Linked DNA regions of Drosophila melanogaster. The protein of the gene in region 1 binds, or shares a complex with, the protein of each later gene. Each region holds a gene or a part of one and is shown in the gene's direction. Other genes may lie near its edges.

What was found. The genes of interacting proteins can lie anywhere in the genome.
Region 2: the proteins of grim (region 1) and Diap1 are in contact, whole or in part, in a crystal structure (PDB 1JD5), measured with the Drosophila melanogaster proteins. Residues at the interface, in NP_524137.2 of Drosophila melanogaster: Ala2 (codon at 3,709), Ile3 (codon at 3,712), Ala4 (codon at 3,715), Tyr5 (codon at 3,718), Phe6 (codon at 3,721), Ile7 (codon at 3,724), Pro8 (codon at 3,727); in NP_001261916.1 of Drosophila melanogaster: Thr255, Arg260, Val261, Arg262, Cys266, Gly267, Gly268, Gly269, Leu270, Met271, Asp272, Trp273, Asn274, Asp277, Gln282, Trp286, Leu287, Glu314.

The regions. Positions count from the first base shown.
Region 1 is NT_037436.4:18,300,122-18,307,804, reverse strand, and holds grim (grim), read left to right. Parts: upstream 1-3,387; 5' UTR 3,388-3,705; coding exon 3,706-4,122; 3' UTR 4,123-5,086; downstream 5,087-7,683. Other genes in the region: CG13700 (uncharacterized protein), read left to right, coding at 6,672-6,970, 7,031-7,113, 7,186-7,683. UniProt on the Drosophila melanogaster protein: Activator of apoptosis, independent of rpr and hid, that acts on the effector Dredd.
Region 2 is NT_037436.4:16,047,212-16,054,584, reverse strand, and holds the start of Diap1 (Death-associated inhibitor of apoptosis 1), read left to right. Parts: upstream 1-3,550; 5' UTR 3,551-4,127; intron 4,128-4,281; exon of another isoform or gene 4,282-5,001; intron 5,002-5,075; exon of another isoform or gene 5,076-5,350; intron 5,351-7,373. Other genes in the region: Mbs (myosin binding subunit), read right to left, coding at 1,025-1,279. UniProt on the Drosophila melanogaster protein: Anti-apoptotic protein which functions as a caspase regulator, using its E3 ubiquitin-protein ligase activity to smother caspase activity. Binds, ubiquitinates and inactivates initiator caspase Dronc, and effector caspases Drice and Dcp-1.

The DNA.
Region 1 (7,683 bases):
TAAGCCATTTGTCAAACACTTGGCATGACGTCATGTGTGGATGCGAATCGAAGGGGAGTTCTTTTGCGACATCTTAGGGTATTTACAGCTTCGTTTTGGGCAGTTAGCTGCCTCCGCAGTTGGGCGAAAATTTACATATAGATTAGCAGCAGCACAGACACACCAATGGCCACTAGATGTGGACCTTCAATGCACTTTATCCGGCCCTCGACCGATTTTGATGGCGGTGATGATGTCTGCAGTGCATAAGTGGAAATCATTAAGGGGCTGGCCGCATCTTGTAAACCGGTGCGTAATCCTGCAGACCCAGCCAAACCAACGACACACTGAAAAAAATCTTAAATAAATGTTTTGTGTGGCTTAAGAAATATGATATTTTAAAAGTGGCATTGGGTATAATTAAAATATTATTTTAATATTTTAAGAACTCTTTTTACTTTTTAATTGCTTAGAAATTTATAAAATTAGTTGTAAGGCACCACTCTTTTGAACTTTACAAGTTTTGAGTTTTACATAACGTAACGTGACAACTGGACGTGTATTAAACTATAATTGTTCTTGAACAAGCTTTGGTTTTTTCTGAGTTCACAGTCAATTGTTTACAGAACAGAACTGGCAGCTCGGCATTGTTACCATTTCCGTTCCGTTTCTCTCTCTCTCTCTGAAGCCCATTGTCCAGGGGCTGGAAATCCCCTGACAACACTTTGGCCCTTTCACTATGTGAAAAAAGAAAATTTCTGCGAGCAATCCTTGAACAATGCACGAAATAATTGCACAGACCGGACTGCGAAACCGGGTTGAGTGGTGGAGGCGGAGAGTTGAGGTCCTTGCGAAGAGACATAATGATGGCCCGCTGGATATTGGCTGATGATGGGCATTAAAACGCGTATGATGAGACTTAAGTAGTTACACACACACAGCGTACGATTGGGACTCTTTAGGTGTGTCCTGGAAAAAGGACTCGCTGGGGTTTAAGTGATGCTAACATATTGCCGACACATGCATGTCGTGGGTTAGGGAAGAACTTCCTCTGAAATGATATTTCTTCTCTATGATTACCGTGTCTGCATATTGCTAAATGAAAATCTGAAGCACAAAGTGTAAATAATGTTACGGCAAGGGGAAAATGATTCACGGCTGATGGGTAAGGTGAATGCGGATTGGTGTATTAACATCTGTCGTAAAATTATGTGGGAAAACATAAATCGATAGGACATTTGGATTAGCTTGATCAATGTGCTAATATTTGTTCAGGAGATATGTTGAATAGAAAGAGTGATTTTATAAAATGCCTAAAATATTAAAAACTTAACATTTTAAGTCCAGTAAAAACAATTACACAATATTTGTTATATAAAATTCAAATAGCCTGTTCGGCTTATCAATTCTCGGTAATGATGAAAAATTAAGTACTTAAACCTAAATAGGGATATTAATCATGTTAATAGTTAAATTCGCAGTAATGATATTACTTCAATCAATACAGAAAATTTTGTTGTTTTGTTTTGTTTTTAAAAATATTTCACCTCATTTTCCGCACACCATTTATAAGCAAAGTTACCCCCAACCCATAACTTTTATGGTAAGTAATACAGACCCTCCAAGTTCGGCAAATCGATACCCAGCGACCTTGAGCTTGACATTTATATATATGCCAGAATATAACGACCACGTGCTGTCAACTGTGTCAGGAAAAGCTCACCCACACTTTCTTTGGAGGAGCTGTGCTCCCTAAACGAATTTCATTGTCAAGGTCGCACGCACAAAAATGAAGAGGAAAAGCTGAATGTGGGTGGAAATGCCGGCCGGCACGACCTTGAAGCCAGTTGGGTGAGAAATAAAAAGCTTTTGCCGGTAGGAGACTTGTGGAACATCACCCACAAGTGGCGGACTTGGCCTTGGCGATGGCCTTGTTGGAGCTCCCTCAGCAAAAATGTTACATAGGGGGAGGAAATAAGCTCAATTGGCTTTATGCTTTCCGCTCCCTGGAAGTCCTTTTCTGGAATGTTAAAGTGTTAAATGACATTTATTGAACATTTGGGACAGAGGAGGAGATAATACAATATACTTGTCTAATTAAAAAAAATCGTTATTATGATTTATTCCATATGTAAGATTTTAATTCATCATGATTGTAAATAAATTATATAAAACAAATTCAATAAATTTACATTATTGATAAAATTTATTTTTTCATGAAATTATACCCAAAAATTATTCTCAATTTTTCTTATAATCAGTTTTGCATAAGTATACTTTCTTCATACCCCTCTACCACAGCCACTGCTTTCTTGACTTTGCAACTATCCGGGAACAGCTTATCATAATGGATGAGCTGCAGCTAACGGAAAATGGGGGAGCTGGGATCAAACATTTTCCAAGGTTGAAATTGTCGTCAGCATAATGTTTGAGGGAGCTGGATTCGCGTTAGCTTGAAGGTCAATCCATTTGGGTGCCCTTTGTTATGGTCAAGTTTAAGGCTGCAATAGGGGGAATCTTCAAGGACCATTACGCAAGGTTTTCGCATCAAAGATTTGCCGTGCAAGCTTTTTGAGTTGAAGGATGCTTAACTTGAAAGCGGGTTAGTGGTTCCAAGAGATTTTAGGTGAAGGAGACTCCGCTGTTTTGAAATATATTAAGTATGTAAAGAAGTATACTATAAATAACCCAAAGTGATACAATGTAAGAAAAGATCTCGTTGGTCCCTGGTATAAATTTGTTTGCCATTAATGAATATTGAAAATAATAATTATACTAATAATAGGTACAATAAGCAAGATTAAATTGCATTTAATCACCAAAAATCAGTTTCTATGCGAACCAAAATGTCATAACAAACAATTGTTGATTCATCCGTAGTGAAATCCAAGTTCGAAATTCGAAATGAGCATACGACGACCAAACTTCCCCTCAAAATTGCTAGACTCAGCTAGAGCAAGTACGCCCAAGTTAACCCCTGAAATTCGAAATGAATTCGATGCCGCGCTTCGAACAACGAAATCCCAAAGAGCTTACGTTTTATTTGACGTAGCACTCTTACGTGAAATGATTTTCCCCAATTCCGCTCTCATTTCCCGAGTCTCTCACCGCTTCTCAGCCACTTTCCCACCCCCTTTCTAGTTCCGAAGTAAAGGTAACAAAGGCAGCCGTGTCTTTGGGGTGGTAAACTGGCGGTGGTGGTGGCACATTGTCAGTGGTGTGGGTTCCTGTGGTTGGTGGTTCAATTGGTTGGTTGTTGGCATAAACAAAGCACACACACAATACACACAAACTCCCGGGGGGTGGTGGAAATTGGGAGGGTGACATTCACTGCGAGAGAGGAACTCGCTTCCTATAGGAAAGTACAAAGAGAGCTATTTTATAAATGTGACTGCAGCAAGGATATTTACAGTCAGTCCACTCTGAAACCTCGACGAGAGAACATTGAATAACAAGCGGAAGCGAAAAGCGCAGTTGAAAGTTCGTCAAAAAGCGACAAGTTTCCTCGTTCGTTTTCCCGCCAAATGAGTCAGAAAAATTTTCCAAGTGCTCGATACGAAACATAAAGACTTACAAGACTTAAAGTGCAAGCAGTGAATGGAATATATTATTCCTCAGCGATATTGAAATCAAACATTAAAAATATATGCTACACTAAAGTTATATATTTTTTTAAAGATTCATACGTTTTGTAAAATCACATTTTGTATTAAATTAAATACCGCCATGGCCATCGCCTATTTCATACCCGACCAGGCCCAATTGTTGGCCAGAAGCTATCAGCAAAACGGCCAGCAGACAGCAGCGAGTCCAAGGACAACTGCAACAGCTGCTGCACCATCGCAGCAGCAGCAACAATCGCAACAACAGCAGCAGCAGCAGCGACATCATCATCAGCAACAGCGCCCACAATTCCGTGCCAATATTTCCGTGCCGCTGGGAAGTCAACAGGGATCGATGACCATGTCGGAGTTTGGATGCTGGGATCTTTTGGCCCAGATCTTCTGCTACGCTCTGCGAATCTACAGCTACAGTTCGAGCCAGCGTCAACCGACGGTCATTCAGATATCCTTCGAGATCAGCAGCGGCGGTCAGAACAACGATGAGGACGACGTGACTGATGCCACCTCCAAGGAGAACTAAATTTGGTTTCCATATTTCATCCTGGTGGAGAGAAAATCTTTGGGATTTTCTGGGAAAGGCAGGCTCAATCAAAGCGCATTGTGATTTCTTTTTTGGGTATGGACACATGAGGAGGAACGAGTTTTGTAAAACATGGGATATTTCCACAACAAAATAAGAAAACTATTTTTAAACTATTTTTGAGAGAGAGAAAATTCAAAATTTGTCATCGACTTGCTTAAAGTGATTTTGGTTGTTTGTTACTTTTTTGGATGTCAAATTTTCCGATATAAGTTTTGAAAAAATGTTTAATTTTGCAAGCAAAGGTTTCCCGGTTGGTTCAAATACATAAACATACTTAACAACATTTAGAGAGCATAAAGAGAAATGTGTAAAATTGTCATAAACCTTATTAGTGTCTATACGTATGAGCAAAACCACAAGTATCGTACTCAACTAACAAATAATTGTCAAATTTTCTACTTCAACTACTTCAACTACATTTCAACTACTTACAAATATAAATCGTAAACTAATATTACAGAACTACAATACAGAACCAACAACAAAACAAAGATGCAACCGCAGCAACAAGAATAACAAAAGACAACAACTCAATTGTACAAAATAGATTTTAAGCAAACAGCAAATTTTATATGTTTACAACAAAGAGAGAAAATACAAAACGTCTACAAAAAATAGAATACAAGAACCGCCGAACAGAATACATTTTAACAAAAATTAAACAAAACAACAACAAACATTTAAGCAATTTTGATACGAATAATCAAGAATAACAAAATTTGAAATGTATCTTATCATTATTATTGATTTTAGCAAAATTCAAAACATATTATTTTAATTTTGGCATTGCAAATTAAACAAGAAATATTGAAATTAATCACATGTAAAGATAGCATTTGTAAGAAATTAAAATTTTTATAAGACAAACAAGCAAAAAATAAATACAATTTTATAAAAAATTAAAAAATACTTTGAACGATTATTATTGTCCCTTTTCAGAAAAACATAAAGAATTTTACCAACACCATTGCCGAGATATATATATTTAATTACCTTTTATTTCGGAGGTGTAGAACTCTATTAAAATGTTTTTGAAAAATTATTCGAAGCGTTTTTAAAATATTTTAAAAATAAACTAAAACGTTTTTAAAATAAATTCAAAAGAATATTTATTTGTTTCACCAAAGTTTTTATAAAAAAATACGTCAAAATAATATGAAATTTTGTTTAATACACTCTTTTAATAACCGCTTATGAATTAAGCCTTTGTATTCCATTTTGGGCAATGAAATGGCAAAGGATAACCGTCCTGCCAGGAAAAGGCGGAGTAAGCAAACATTTAGCGATCGCTATCGTCAAAACCAATATGTCACCTTAAAAGGGAAAACACATTTTTGGTTAAGGGCAGACAGAGAATTTTCCCGTCGTGTCATGCCAGGCACACTCCACCCAAAAGGGTTAAAAAGCAAAGGTGACGCTTAACCGCAGATCCCAGTTTGTGCCACCAATGTCCAAGTCATCGGGCTCGGGGTCAAAGGGAAAAAGAGGAAAAGGGCAAAGGGGGTGTACCCTTTAGCAAGCCCGGAAACCCATTTAACCCCAGAAGTGGAAAAAGTGTAACATCTGTGGCAGCAAGCGATCAGCGGCGCCTGATAAGTTCGCCAGTCAAATAATAATTATGCAAACATTTCGGGCCGCTAATTTGCCGCCTATCTTAATTTAAATCGCTCAAAAGCGCACTGGAACCAGCGCACAAGAAATTGTTTAATTGTCGTGACATGACAATAAGCGACCTGGAAATTAGGGTCCTTCGCTATCCTTTTTTTTCGCGTGTGGCTTGATTTTTGGCGATGATAAGCAAGGGGGAAATTATAGGGTATGCAAATGCTCGCATAGTGTCAGTCGCGTGTCCTGGATCAAGTTTTCATTCGGGTTCGTTTTCCACTCAAATTCCTTCTTAGCGCCTGCAATTATGCTCGGCGGAGAGACAGTTTATGATAACATATTTGTAGTTAATTTAGTTAAATTAGTGCCACATATGTTAAACTGATCTGAGATAGCCAGGTGGGAGCTGCAAATGGGTGAAAATTCCATCGAGTCACAGGTTGCTGGCAAACTGCTTTCGATTGGGTCCACACTCAAATATTTCAATAGTTAAAACCACGGGTAATAGACATTTAAAAAGAAAAAAGAAAGCAATATAAAAGCAAATAAGTGTAATCTAGTTAACTTAAATACATATAGTCAAGTCATCTAAATATGCTGTTTCCCTTTTGTATTGCAGACTGGATAGATAGAGCTTCAAAAAATTGTTCGGTGTTCTTTTTTAATTAAACCTTAAAACGTTTATTTCAGTTGATTTTGAGAAAGTTGTTCTATAAAAGCATAAACAAAGTATTCAATGAGAAGAGTGTAAATAAACTTTAAGAAATTATTATTATTCCTTAAGGGAAGCAAAATTCCAAAGCATTTACTTAGGCATGAGCTAGATACCTTAGTGGTGTCATACCGCAAAGCTCGACCAGGATATCCATCTTATAATCATAATGAACACTTCGGATAAGAATGACAATGATAATGATTCCTTGGGCGACGAGCAGGATCAGGAAGTCCGCCAAATACTAGATTCAATCGAAAGCTTCGATGACGTCTGCAAAACTTTCAAGTCGAAAAGTGTTCAAGAATTAAACGCTCAAAAGACAAGTGAAGTTCCCAAATCTGACCAGGAAAAGGTTCACACGTCATCGTCGAAATACAATTCTACTCCCCAGACAGAAAAACTTACTTCTGAGGCAGATCCAGATAGCGAATACACACGTTTTCTGAAGCAAATGAGCGTTCGTTAGTAAGTTAAGTTATTTTAACAATAATTTTAATTTAATTTTCTTACTCATATGCATCTTAGCTCAGAGTTTCGCATTGCCTCGGGTCAAGTAGTTCAACAAAAGGGTCAGACAATGGACTACCGAGACTATAACTATAGCGAATGTAAATATTGAGTTTCTAATTTCTAAAATATTTTTGGAAATTTATTGATCTTTTTATTTCCTGCTATTGTAGATCCAGTATGTCAACCTTCTTGTAGCTGGCAATCCTTTAACCCAATGACTCAGGACTCGACATCTGGACAAAGAGAGATGGAATCGTCATCATCTAGTTCGCCCGGGCAGATGTGCCAAAATCAATACGGCTATGGTCAATCTCTTCCGGAAGCCGGATCAAGATCGGACGAGACCATTGTCAACGATCCCAGTACTACCAGTTCAGCTCCATGTGAGAGTGAGAGTCCTTGCTGCTCCAAAGAGACTTGTGGCTGTTGCTGTGATATCGCTTCTAGTCAGCAATCTGGATGCTCCCAATGGGATCAGACTTATCCTGGCCAGCAACAGCACATTTTTCCTGTTCCAATGGGTGTGGATCCGAGTACCGGGTTTCCCATCTACTGCTACTCTACCCCACTAAATTATCAAGGCAATGCTATGTACTCAATGCCAGGCATGCAAATGGATGAAAGTCAAAGGGGAGGCGGTGGCCAGAACAACCGGGAAACTGGTACGA
Region 2 (7,373 bases), 2.3 Mb from region 1:
CCATGTATTTGCTGTATTTGTTAATATTCGAAATTCGAATTATTGTTGCGGCGGCGAAAGAGCACGAAATACCCAACAACAATAATGGTCGAGCGTCTAGCGAACGGCGCTGCACAGTGGGTCTAAACAGGATGGATCATTCTTGACCTTGATTGAATATCCTATAAAAATTCCTAAATAATAACGTCAATGTGTCATAATGCTGTGTTCTTTATCTTCTTCGATGGAAAATCTTGTAAAATTAATCAATTTAGTAATTTGTTCTTTATATTTTAATTTGTTGTTTTACTTTAAACGCTCTTAAGTTAAATGAAGTATACATAAAAATTAAATGGTTAATCCTTACGAAACAATAAGGTAATACTTTTCGTTTGCTGCTAGATATTCTTGTAGCATTTTAATAATTTGATCCCATGACCCCATGGAATTCGACCCACAGTGCGATTCACGTCAGCACCACAGTTGGACGCAACGCAACAGTGTCGAAACTGCAGCTCCCTGCGCCCGTTCCACCCCAACCCCGCCCCCAATTCACCCACCACCCCCTCGCCCAGTCGCGTGATCGCAGTTGCAGCAGACTGACGCAACGCCTAGCCGCCTTCTAAAGTGGGAAATCAATCCCTGGTGATAGGGGATGCAGTGTGAATATTCACATTTAATTAACTGGAAATTGCACCTGCTGCAAATGCAACCCTTGATAGAATTGCTAATACTCGCCACTTCTACCCAAACAAGAAAATAATGTCTGTTTGCAAACGATTACTTAAGTGGGAATTATCAATACCTACTAAAAGACTGTTGTCTTTTTCTTTTCTTCTAGCGAATGTTTTATGTTTTCTATCTGTGTACTATATCTTTAAAGATAGCTTTAAAATATATTTTATTTTATTGTATGTTCTTTAATTTAAATTTATTTACAAATTGACTAGTTGAGCAAAGTATAACCATTCAAACGTTACATTTTCTACCACCCAATAAGGACTATTCCTAAGTGTGAAAGAATGATGATTACTGGCAGACTTACCTGGTGCAGGGCGGTGAGTCCATCGACGTTGGCGGTGTTGATGTCGGCGCCCTGGTCGAGCAGCTGGACGACCTCGTCCTTGTCGCCGGAAAGGCAGGCGGCGAGGAAGACACAGCCGGAGCTGAACTTGATCCTGCGGCCGTGCTCGTGCCGGGGGGTGGGGGCGGCGCGGTTTGTGTCCGACTCCTCCCAGCGCTTCAGCTGCTCGGCGCGCTTCATCATCGCCGAGTTGTTGCGTGCGTCCAGCGAGGACATCTTGGCAGATCCTTCTTGGCCAGACGAACGATCTGCTCCTTCAGATAATCCTGCTACTTGCTGCAGAGCACGCGCTCTGTGAGATCGCTCGACTGCTCCAGATGTGTGTAGATTTTGTATGTAGCGCTGTTGTATCGCTATTGCTCTATCGTAATTGCTTTATTGCGCTTTTGTTTGCAATGGGAATTGGGTTTTGATTTTGCACTATTTATAGAAAATGCTTCACACTTTCGATTTTCGATCACGACTACACTTTTGCTGTTTGTACTGCTGCTGCTGCTGCTTCTTCTTTTCCTGCTTGCTGATTATTATTATTTTACGATTTTTCTATTTTCTTTGCGTGTGTGTGCGCGTGCGTGCGTGCGTGTGCGTTTGCTTTATCAGCCAACTTCTTGGCGTTTTCTTCTCCGCTCACTCACACAATGTCGCAATCAGGAACGCTCTCTCTCTCTCACACTCGCTCTCCCGCAAAACAATGCTATTTGTTGTTGTTTAACGCGCACCTTTGTTGTTGCATTCAATGGAAATTACACAAGAGGATGGGGCAAAAACTAAGAAATACGATAGGAGAAATTAATATTTTGCAAATGCTTTATTTAGAGCCACCAGCTGCTGGGCTACATAGTGTTAAGCAAACACATTTTCATATCAATTAAAAACACTTGCGGGCATTTTAGCAGCCGCTTGTTTTTTTTACACTTTGTTTATCATTCTCCCTTTCGCGCTCTCTCTCTCTCTCTGCCGCTCACACACACTCATGCAGTTAGGGCTTGCATACGGAGAGCGCGAATGGCTGAGCCTGCATGTGTGTGTGTTACCAATTTGACATAAATTCAACAGCCGCGACGCTGACGTCGCGAGTAAATAGAACAAAAATGGAAACCGCGTATTTTTTCACGCACTGAAATGCGATGATTTTATGTAATTTGGCAGGATGGCGGTATTGCACAAAATCCTTGCAAATGCGAGTGCACTTATGTAAAGGCATTTTTACATCGCCCCACATTTTACATTCCACTCCACACTCACACACACATTCACTCGCCTCGCACACAGACGCAACACATACACACGTATGCCGCACACGCACGTAGAGAAAAATGGATTGCAGTAGAAACTTTTCACACACACCGAAAGACCAAGCGAAAAACGCACCTTTCCCGCGAAATTCCCAGAACTTTCAGTGCTCTCTGGGCTTTAATGGCTGCAGGACTCTCCGCTGAAGCGCTCCTCGTCCGCGAGGCACTGGTATTTCACTTTATTTTGCATATTTTCGGTGGCGTTCAAATCGAATTTCATCCGCACGAAGTTCACAGACCAAAATTTTTTGACGATGTGAATCGGAGGGCAATGCGCGGTATATTTAGCACTCTTTTCGCCTGGTCACACTAACGCCGCTCACAAAATTGTAGATGGCGTCTTAGTTATGTTAACACTTAGCAGTGCTGTTATGGACCGATATTTTTAACGATGTTAATTAAACTATCAATATTATTTTAGGGTATTCGTAATTGTTCGTCTTATTACTCCATTCGGGAGAAATGCGTTCTTTTTGCATCCAATTCTTTACATTTAGTTCAAAAATAGATGCGGCCATATCTATCGATATATTTGATGTGCCTCAAAAACACATACAATGCAATTTTCAAACAACTTTTTAAATATATTAATACCGTTTCTAATTTTATCTATATAAAACACAAAAAGGAAAAAGAGGATACAACAGAATCAATTTACTTTCAAACTCAAAAAATGCTGTTTTTGGTCAACTTCTCTAATTGTGGCTTCCCTCAATTGTTTGTATTTATTCCTGGTTTGATACTAAGAATTCTCGAAAGTTTATTAAACCGAAACAACAAACAATTGATGTTAAAATAAATTTCCAAACTGATCAAAGTATTTTGTTTTTACTGGGAGTTCTCGGTATGCCGAAGGTTCTTCTGTTTGTTCCACTAATTTTTTTGTCAAATCAAGACAAAATGTTAGGGGCTCTAATTCTGATGAATCGAAATAAGCTCAGTTTTCGCGGTGTTACTGGACCGGGTAACAGACCCTTGTTCTATAAGTGGCTCAATTTTGTATATGTGTTATACCTGAACTACCGTTTCGATTTCCAAACCGTTTTATTCGATAAATGTTGGTTGAAAACGCTGCTGACGGCCTAGCGTAGACTTGATCCCACTGATGCATCTTATCGATATCTTTTTAGCGCGTATCGATACATCAGCGAGCCAAGCACCTTGAACAGTGTGACCCCATTTAGCATTTATTTAAAACTACGACTTCGTGTGCTGACAGTTGTTTGTTTTTGAAATTTTAATATATTCAGAAATATAAATAGCTTGCAAAATAGTTATTAATTAAACTTAAAAAAGTTTTAAAAAAAACATTCCAGTTTAGAGACGCACAGCTGGAATAGCCAACGAAAGTGCGGACATCCCACCCCCAAAAATAATTGCGCATCGCTTGGGCGGCAAAAAACTATTTCGACCGTTCCGCCCCGCTAGTTCTCTCTCTTTCCCCCGCCAGCACCCTCTCGCTCACTAGAAAGCCAAGCAAAACAAAACAAAACGAGAACGCAGAACCGACAAAACAAATACCTATAGGAAAGTGAGCTATATAGGCACATAGCTTTGGCGTAGTCGTTGCACGGCATTCAAACCCACCAGTCGACGTGAGCACAGTTGTGTAAACATTTTATACAGCAAAACTTATTTTAAGTGATTTTATAATCTTATCGTGGTGCGATAAGAGGTGAACGAAAACAATTAACGATTTGGTGGCCGAAAAAAGGCATTAAAAAAACCAATGATAAACTGATACGTTATCACTGTTTAAAATGTCTCTGGTAAGTAAATATAAATATGTGTGTTCAATCTTCCCGCGGTTTATAGAAAAAACAAAATGGGTTTACTTTACTATACTTGAATTATGCTGCATACAAATAGGCGCCGCCTGTCTACCTTTCTCTCTCCAACACGCCTTTTTTCATTCATGTCCTTACCCCCACATAAACAGGGACACGACCATTATCCCTCCCTCTCTCACTCTCTCTCTCTCCCCCTTTCTCCCTATCTCGCTCTCCGCTCTCTGGCGTTTTCTAGTGATTTCTAAAACAATCTGGAGGCCGAGATACACATGTACATACATACTTAGGCATATGTCAGGATCCCGTCTTATCTTATTCGCTCTTGTGCTAGCTTGTCATTTTGAGGGATGGGTTGGAATGAAATCTGTCTGTCGCACATGTTTCTGCCTGGATATTAACTAAGATTGTACCTTTTATCTCCGCCGATGCTGAGCTCATTCGCATCGCATTTCATTCATGATGAAATCAACACCACCCCCATGCTGCAAAACCCACCCATTCGTGGAACGCGTTTACTAGCTAGAATTTTCCAATTTCTAATTACCGCTCAATGTCATTTCCATTTACAGCGCTGCGTAGGTTCCTATGATTGATGGGGTTTTGCCTATAGCATCAGTTGCTTACCTCACTTATTTTACTAGAACGAAATTCATATATCCTCGCTGCATTCTGTTTTGCGTCATTCATTCGTGAGATATTTGTTTAAAACAACTGTCAACTGGCAAGTCTAATCTATACCTAGTAACGGTGACTAGATGGTTTCACAGGAAATTAGGTCACTTGAGTAATGTCATAACCTCTCAAATTCCTTACTTCAAATAGTAGTTCACTGATGAGTTCACTTGGTGTTCCCCTGAAAATGATGAATAAAATTATTTTTGAGTATTTATCCACTACACCATAAACTTAAATATACAATATACATACATCCTTTTTGAGGCTCCATCATTTGACAGCAAAAGATCCGCGGGACACCTCAGTTCGGTAGGCTCATTATTGGATTGTTCCACACATCCACACACCGAAAATATCCTGACAAAGGATCGACGGCAGCTGGCGTCGTCATGTGCCGCGCGATCCTTTCACTGGAAGCGTGCACAATAAGGATGAGGACCCTTGCCCCAGGAGCAGATGTTGCTGGCTCCGCTTTCGGCGATCCTCTGATCGGTTATTACCTAGTTGCTGCAGCTGCCGGCACACGTCCACAATTGTCGATCCAGGTGCTTTCTTTCCTTCCTTTTTTTTTGGCCCTGAATGGAGCAGGTAAATACATGGTGGCTAGAAAAGGGACCGACAGGCAGCACATGTTATAAGCAATGGGTAGTGGCTAGTCTAATCGAATCGTGCCCAACGCGTTGTTATGACACCTTTTGCCAATCGCCGCACAAATGAATGAAGAGAATACAAAAATGGCAAACAGGTTTTCAGCTCCGCTGCAGTTGGCTGTTAATAAAAAGCCACAAAATATAACATAAACAGAATCAACTGTAGAGTATAGCTTTTGAAATGTAATATGAGGAACTTAGGAATTACAAAGTTGCAGCAATCTTTTGACACGCTCCTTAATATTTATCTTAAATGAATATTATACATGCATATATAGATAAAATTAAGGTATATCCCTATTGAGTCATACTTGTTAATGCTGGCATGGTTTCATTATTAAAGCAACAAAGTGACTCAAGTTGTTTGAAATAGCTTAAACAGCTGTCAACACATTAAGTTAAAACGCTGTAGGCTATTTTAACTGTGCATTAAAAGCAGCACCAACAAGAACAGGGCGGTTGCAACAACTTTAAAAGGCCTTGCAAGGCCGTTTAGCTCCAAGCCCGCGGATTTTTCAACTAAAACTTGTCCGGCGACTCGAGACCCAAACTCTGCGTGGTCAGCGGAGTGATCTTTTGATGCTGAATATGAAATGAAAACCGAAGTGCCTCTGGCAGCATCCGCAAATAGAATGCTTGTATAGACGCCACATTTTCGCTTAATTTACAGCAGAAGACCGCCTGCAAACAGTGTCGACTTGCAACATGTCAAAGTCGTCTAGACTTCGCATTTATAGGCAAATTTCTCAAATGCGTCGCGACATTTTCGTGGTAAATTTAGCAGCGTGTATTTATAAAATTTGAAAAGTTCAACCCGTTTGCTTGCGGACGCCATATACACATGTCGCGCACTGTAGCCGGGCTGTTTTCCATAAATGATTCAAACTTGGCAATCTTTGTTTATACAGTATCAGAACGTGTTGGCATTTCCCCTGCCAAATATATATTCATAACTCAAAGGGGCTTAATCAGAAAAGCTTGGGACTTCGTTTAAAAATATTTTACTTATTGATAGTTCATTGCAAATACTTTGTTCGAGGCAAAAACGTCAATTCAAGAAATATGTTTGTAAATTTCATAATATAAATATATTCAACAAATACTTTAAGAATCCCTAGTGGTTTCTTCGCATTTATTAGTTTTTATCAGCCATTTTATCATGTCATATACTAACTTATGTACATAAAATTGCGTAATATTTACTGTAGCAATTACTCAGCCTTGTACTGTGTGCAAAATATATATATTAGAACCCCGCCCCAGGGAACCCTATTTTCTATAACCTAAAAGCGAATCAAAAAGCTGACATTTTAGAAGACATAGAAGAAATTGACTCAAAATAAGGCATTGCAATTGAAGTTGTAAATCTTGTTCTTTAGTTTTTGGTATAAGGACGGATTCATCATTAATTCATCATCATTAGATTGACACTTCTAGTGTCTTTGGTTTAACCTGAATCAGGCTAGTACGGGACCGAGTACGGGACAGAGCCTGCACTTTGAGATGTTCTCTTAATTTTGTTTTTTGTTTTGCTCTTTTCCATACATAGCTTTTTGCATAGCCGATTTGTTTAAAGCTGGCACTCCGCCAGCCAAGCCGTATCATTAAAAGCATTTTTTCGTTTAAAAAAATAATGATCGGAATTCGAAGGCATAATAATCTACCTTTTTTGATATGTGGACTTTGTGAAAGTTCCAGCTGCTCCTTCCTCCTCGCCACAATGAAGGAGAGACAGACAGACAGAGTGAGAGAGAGTGAGAGAGAGGTGGAAATGCGGTGCATTGACACGCGCGCGGCGCATGCTCTTCGCTCTCTTGCAGGAGGATAAAAATCAATGATCCTGGCTGCGGTGTCTGCGAGTGCGAAAGGGATAGCCATACAGGCAACAGTAGTACGTCTA